2 linked regions of the Canis lupus familiaris genome follow. The protein of the gene in region 2 purifies or fractionates together with the protein of the main gene of each other region. This does not show direct contact. Links are inferred from orthologs where the notes say so. Each region holds a gene or a part of one and is shown on either strand. Other genes may lie near its edges.

Region 1 (2,407 bases), on a different chromosome or scaffold from region 2:
TAGGTAGGCAAGAAAAGGTAAACTAAACCTAAAAACACTTCAGTCTTCAGATTTGAAAATATTTGCAAAGTGGATAGCAGCAAGAGACAGAACTGAGGAGAATGAATTTAGCATTTTTCAGGCTATGGGTTGCAACCTAAATTTTTTTTTTCTTAACTAAAAGAGCATAGAAAACATATAGACATTTGCAAGTATTAAGACTAATTCTTCCTGAGATTTTTGTTTTGGTTATATGCATGAATGGGCCATGATGCAAAGTATATTTCTTTTTTTTTTTTCTTTTTTTTTTTTTTTTAAGATTTTATTTATTCATGATAGTCACAGAGAGAGAGAGAGAGAGAAGCAGAGACACAGGCAGAGGGAGAAGCAGGCTCCATGCACCGGGAGCCCGACATGGGATTCGATCCCGGGTCTCCAGGATCGCGCCCTGGGCCAAAGGCAGGCGCCAAACCGCTGCGCCACCCAGGGATCCCAACAAAGTATATTTCTTAGTGGAAAGAGGGCATAAAAGTCTCAAAATCAATGTATTAAGTGACTGTCTACAAAACACCCAGCCCTTTCTCCTGCTCTACTCCTATAATGCTGGCTGCTAGGCATTATCTCCTACAATAGATGAGCAGAATCTTTTTGTGGGAGGGGTGGGGAGTGCAAAGCTTCAGAAATGACTCTAGATCCTGAAATTTTGGGTTTCCTCAGTGAAGAGGCTAACTCACTTCTGAACCACCCTACAGTGAGACTCAAGCTTATGGGTCCAGCCTCCCCTCCCAGAACTTCTCTTCCTAGGATTCTATTATTTAAATAAATGGTCAAAGTACAAGATATTCAAGTCAAGCCTACAACATAAAGATCAAAGAGAGCAAATTTGGGAAAGAGAAAGATCAGTCAATCAAGAAACAAACTCTTAACTATGTAAGAGAACAAACTGATGGTTACTAGAGAGGAGGGGGATGGGGAGATGGGTGAAATAGGTGATGGGGGTTAAAGAGTACATTCGCCACATATCAAACTGTTGAATCACTATGTTGTACACCTGAAACTAATATAACATTGTATGTTTACTAACTGGAATATAAAAACCTGAAAAATCTTGAGTATGTCTCTGCCTCTATCTGTGTGTCTCTCATGAATAAATAAAATCTTTAAAAAATAATGTTTATAATCCTTCAAACTTACCAGCTTCCCTTTTCTTAGATTTCACCTTTGGTTCAACATCCACAAGTAGTGTATCCAGAGGTAAGCTGTCTGGTAGAATGAAATATCGAATGTTATTTCCTCGAATACTCAGTGTTTCCAGCTGTACTGGTTCTCTATTCTTCAAAGTCATTTTCACAGCTTTAAGATGTGTATTCATGCTGACATCTACACCTACAGGGGAAAAAAGAGAGAGCTTATTAGCATGATAAAGAAGGCAACCAGTAAATCTATCAAGCCGAAGTAAATAACACAATACAAAAGAATACTGCCCATTCTGCTACACTCTAGGACACTGCCTATTCTGTAAGACTCTAGGACACAATTTAGTACAACTGGTTAATGGGTGAATAATGTCAATATAAACCAAAAATCCTTTCTTCGGAGATTATCTCTAGTACATTAATGTTTTGCATGATTAGGTATGCTTACAGATGTGAATGCAGCAAGCCACGGAGGAACCCTGAGTGATACCTGACTCATTCCCACTGTGCCCAGGTATTCTCATCTCAGGGCGTTCTCACTATCTCCATAACTTCCTTATTCCCCATGTCACCAAGCTGTTAAGTCTTGTTTTATTTTTTATTTTTAAAGATTTATTTATTTATTCAAAGAGAGAGAGGCAGAGGAAGAAGCAGGCTCTATGCAGGAAGCGCGACATGGGACTCGATCCCAGGTCTCCAGGATCACACCCAGGGCTGCAGGCGGCGCTAAACCTCTGCGCCACCGGAGCTGCCCCTGTAAGTCTTGTTTTAAATAAAAGATCCTATATATATTGCAGTATTTTCCTTGTTACTAGGAATTTAACACATCTTTTTAACTGCTTTTTGAAGGAATCTTACTGTTTTTAGTACTTTAATTCCCAAGTTGCACAAGTTTTGAATGCTCTGCCTCAAACTATTTTTCCCATTGCTTTTAGTGTGAGATTTTGTAAAAGAAAAGCACAATTTTCTAGAATGAATATTATGGCATTATCTTAGAAATACCCAATTATTGGAGCCTTTGCCAATATATCTGAACAAATGGGTAACAAAAGACCTAGTTTATTTCTATTCCTACAAAGTTAGACCAGAAAACATGAATTCTCTTAACTTTCCCAACATCTACTTCAAATAGCAATTATGGTCAGTGCCACAGGGTCACTAACCATGTTACTGAAACCTCATATTATTCTGATTTCCTTTAAAGCAATTGGTGTCACATACACAAATATACT
Region 2 (4,386 bases):
CTCCTCAGATATGCCGAACTGCTCCAGGGGGTCCTGTGTGGATGAACCAGCAGCATGAGCCGGGGCCCCAGAGGCCGCTGCCCGGCCCCCTGCCCCCTGCCCCCTGCGCACCTTGCCAGTCATCTTCTGGATCTCATTCCTGTAGAATATGAGGCTTCTCCGCATGAACTCGTAGCTGGGGGAGAAAGTGGAATGTGCTCACTCAGGCCCCCCCCTCCCCAGCCCCTGGGCAGGCCCACACCTCACCTGGCTCGACGCAGAGCCCCCATCCACTCCTGACACTGCTCCTCACTGCAGCACTCAAAGTGGTACTTCCTCTCTGGGTCCTCCATGAAGCCTGCGGAGGGAGCGGTCTGTCTGTCCCATCTCACTGCCCGCCGCCCCCTCCGAAGCCCCCCCACGGGCCTCCACCTTCCTCCAGGCCAAGACGACTCCCAGCGGCTGAGTGGACTGAATGGTGCCCCCCACACAGTAGTTCCAGTCCTAACCCTAGAGCCTGTGGCCCAGATACAGAACCCTTCAGAGTGCGGCTACTTAATAAGTCAGGGGAGAATAGGCGGCACAGGACGTCCCCGAGAACATGAAGGGGGGACACGAACACCCTAGGAGTCCTTCTGCAGAGGCAAGGGCGCTGCCAGCTGCCGGCCACCCCGGAAGCCAGGCTCGCCTGGGACAACCTCCCCGACAAGGATCCCCCGCAGGCCCAATGACGTCACTTCTCCAGCCCCAGGGCGCCCACAGCAGGGCCCGGCAGCCCAGTGCAGCACTGCCCAACAGGAGACAAGGTCCTAGAGGAGCTGCACCCCGGCAGCCCGAGGGAAGGGTGGACTTTGTCTCCGCGCAGACCCGCGGCCGGGCCGAAGGGGCAGGGCGGGCGCGGCACTCACAGATGGAGAAGCCGCTGGGCTCTTCCTGGGTGATTCTGCAGCGCTCCAGCAGCAGGGCTCCGACGGGCTGCGGGAGGGGGCGAGTGGGGACCGGCCTCGTGGGGACCCGGGCCCCCGCCCCCGCCGGACCCCAAAGCCCGCCCGGCGCGCCCCCCCCCACACCTGTCCGGGCCCCGCTCCCGGCCCCTCCCCCCGCCCCGACTCCTGTCCGGGCCCCGCCCCCGGCCCCTCCCTCCCCTCCCCCCCAGGCCCCCTCCCTTCCCGGCCCCGACACCTGTCCCGGCCCCTCCCCCGGCCCCGCCCTCCCCTCCCCCCCCCCAGGCCCCCCTCCCTCCCCGGCCCCGACACCTGTCCCGGCCCCGCCCCCCGGCCCCGCCCTCCCCTCCCCCCGCCAGGCCCCGCTCCCTTCCCGGCCCCGACACCTGTCCCGGCCCCGCCCCCGGCCCCTCCCCCGGCCCCGCCCTCCCCGCCCCCCGGGCCCCCGCTCTCTTCCCGGCCCCGACCCCCGCCCGTCGGCCTACCTCGGCCTCGTCCGTCCGGAAGTAGAAGAGGAAGTTGACCACCAGCTTCACCAGCCGCCGCTTCAGCACTGCGGGCACAGGGCGGGCTCACGCGGGCTCGGCCGCCACCCACCCCCGCCCGGCCAGCCCGCCCGCCCGCCCGCCCGGCGCTCCGGCCCGCTCACCACTGCCTTTCTTGGGGCCTCGCATGCCCAGCTCGGCCGCCAGTTCGGCCGGCTGCCGGGACAGCGCCTGCAGCTCCTTCTCGTTGTAGCGCATGGCGCTGCCAGGACCCAAAACGCGGAGCGCGGGCCGCGCCCTCCCGGCCGCCGTCCCCTCTCGCGCCAAAAAAGTCCTACAGTGCCGTCCCGGAAGCGCCGTCGCGGCCACTGCGCTTGCGCGGCCCCGAGACACGCATTGTGGTGTTGGCCGGCGCGCGGCGCTAAGCCAGGCCCGCGTGGGGGAGCACGCGATACCGGCCGACACGGACGGCCGTTATAAATAACCACGCAGTCAGCTGGATCCGAGGTGGGAACCCAGGAAGGCAGCCTCACGACCGTGGCGCCCTCTACCGACGAGCCCACGCCCGCCCTCCCGCGGAAACCGGCCCGGCGCCCGCTAGGCGTGGAGAGCCTGGTGCGCACGCGCACTCCCGAGTTCCGGCCCTTATTCCCAGCCCCGCCCCCTTTCCTCGCCCTCTCGAGCATCAGGTCCGCCTCGCCTGGCGAAGCACGCATGCGCACACGGGAAGCCCTCACCCCTCTCCCCAGACCCCACCGTTTGCCCCCGGAAGCGCTTCTGTAGCCCGCGACGCGCCTGCGCATAACGTCTTCGTGGCAGCGGCGGGCGCGGGGTGAGGAGTCGCGCGGGGTGAGGATCCGGGCTGGCCGAGCGCGGCGGTCCCGGGGCCCTGGCTTCCCCGGACGGGAGCGGCGGGGGGCGGGGGGCTCTCGGGTTCGCGGCGCCGCCGGGCCCCAGCTCCCTGGCCGCGCGCGGGGTCGGGCCCGACGAGTCCCGCCTCCTCGGAAGTGTGCGGGTCGGGTCGGGGCCCGGCGGCGCCGTGGGGTCCCTGGCGGCGGGTCGGGGGGGGGGGGGAGGCCGAGGGGGCGCCCGCGACGGGCCCGCGCCCTGGCGTCCCGGGGCTGACGTTGACTTCGGTTGTCCGCGAACGTGCGTGCTGAGAATTTAGGGTAACAAGCTCTAGACTGAGCATCCCTCTTGGGGCCCCCAGGCGGCCCAGGGCGTGACCCCGGGGTCCCGGGATCGAATCCCCCATCGGGCTCCGCGCAGGGGGCCTGCTGCTCCTCTGCCTGTGTCTGCCTCTCTCTGTGTGTCTCTCATGAATAAATACAATCTTTAAAAAAAAAAAAAAGATTTGTATTTGTTTATTAGAGAGGGGGAGGTAGAGTACAAGCAGGGGGAGGAGAGGGAGAAGCAGGCTGACTGCTGAGCGGGGAGCCCGGGACCCTGGGGTCACGACCTGAGCCACCCGCGCCTCCCGATGGTCTCTGTCCACGGGGGTCTCTGTCCTTTTTTCCGTCCGAACAATGAGATTCTCTCAAGCCCCGGGCCCGGGCTGTTTCCCTTTCTTTGGGAATGCTTTCAGATTTCTTTGAGGATGCCTTCCATGCTTCTTGCTGTTCTCGCTCTGAAATTTCATCTAAGTCCTGTTCTCTTACTTTCCCCCCTGTTTTGCGTTTCTTTGTAAAAGGTTGGTTTGACTTGTACCCGCAAGCTCTTAAGTTCAGCTGTTTCCAAAGGTCTTGGGTTTGGGTTTTAACTGCCCTTGCTAACCTTTGGTGCCGTGCTCTGCATTGGAGGTGTAGTAACTCTCACCCTGTTTTGTTTTGTTTTGTTTTAATTTTTATTTATTTATGATAGATATATATATAGAGAGAGAGGCAGAGACAAAGGCAGAGGAGAGGGAGAAGCAGGCTCCATGTGCCGGGAGCCCGACGTGAGACTCGATCCCGGGACTCCAGGATCACGCCCTGACCGCTGAGCCACCCAGGGATCCCCCCTCTCACCCTCTAATTAAGGAGGATGCTAACATTGCCTGGGGGGGTGGGGGGTGGCTAGCGGATGTGTCTGTGTTTGAGTTCCCAGACTCTAACCTAGCGAGTCTCACTGCCCAGCAGGCCTAGGAAACCAGACAGGCCTAGGTTTCTTTGGGGGTGCAGGGGACTCCCACTGTCAGTGTCTGAGAATACCGTTTCTAGCGTGCTCTCACTGTGTCCCTGGATTGGGGACCTCCAGGTGGACCCTCTGGGCAAGCTGCAGGGGCAGGGCAGGTGTTCATGGAATTCCTTCTTTACAGCCTGGCCCTCACTCCACTCCCTGGCTCTCCAACTCTCTCCCTCTGTGCCTGCCCCTCTAAGTGGAGCGGCCCTTTGTTCAGTTCTTCTGAGACTGTAAAACCTACCCAGGCAGTCGGGTGAGGGCCCCTGGGCTCCTGTAGGGGATGACCTCCCCTGGGGAGGCCAGGAACACTCTGCAGTGGGCTACAAGCAACTGGCACCTTGGGTCTCCAGTGGCTACTGCTTCCCTTTAACTTGGTGACCAGCTCAGTGTTTGCGTTCCGTCTTCCTGAGCCCGTCACTCTAAACGTGGACCCTTTTTGCAACACCCGTGTTGCCTTTGCCCCAGCCAGCCACTAGCATTTGAGGGGCTTATCTGATGGCTTAACAAGGAACTGGAATCCTCACCAGATGGGGTGGGGGGGGGGATCTCCTGGCTTTGTTAACACATTACTTTCCAAGTCAGTCTTATGGCTCTTACTGGCTCCCCACCGCTGGGTCAGTGGGGTGTTCTGGAGATGTCACTGCTAGAACAGGTGACAGGAAGTGAGGGCATGTCTCTGTCCTGGCCCCTGGGTCCCAGCCAAACTGGGGAGCACACACTGCCTTTGTTTTCTTTGTGGGAACAGCAGCCCCGATCGGATGAGGTTCCGTCCCACTGTGCTGTTGCTTTGCAGCTTTCTCTGACTAGTGACGCCAGGC

The links. The genes of interacting proteins can lie anywhere in the genome.
Region 1: the proteins of SF3A2 (region 2) and SNRPD1 purify together in Homo sapiens (affinity purification with mass spectrometry; 4 studies listed by BioGRID and IntAct, with this or other methods). This does not show direct contact. The link is inferred for Canis lupus familiaris from reciprocal best matches to the Homo sapiens genes SF3A2 and SNRPD1.

Annotation. Positions count from the first base shown.
Region 1 is NC_049228.1:66,463,422-66,465,828, forward strand, and holds part of SNRPD1 (small nuclear ribonucleoprotein Sm D1), read right to left. Parts: intron 1,366-2,407; coding exon 1,174-1,365; intron 1-1,173. UniProt on the Homo sapiens protein: Plays a role in pre-mRNA splicing as a core component of the spliceosomal U1, U2, U4 and U5 small nuclear ribonucleoproteins (snRNPs), the building blocks of the spliceosome.
Region 2 is NC_049241.1:57,268,041-57,272,426, reverse strand, and holds the start of SF3A2 (splicing factor 3A subunit 2), read left to right. Parts: upstream 1-1,476; 5' UTR 1,477-1,572; coding exon of another isoform or gene 1,573-1,666; 5' UTR 1,667-1,915; exon of another isoform or gene 1,916-2,023; intron 2,024-2,090; exon of another isoform or gene 2,091-2,257; intron 2,258-2,473; exon of another isoform or gene 2,474-2,577; intron 2,578-4,386. Other genes in the region: PLEKHJ1 (pleckstrin homology domain-containing family J member 1), read right to left, coding at 1-33, 112-175, 247-337, 888-954, 1,409-1,476, 1,573-1,666. UniProt on the Homo sapiens protein: Component of the 17S U2 SnRNP complex of the spliceosome, a large ribonucleoprotein complex that removes introns from transcribed pre-mRNAs.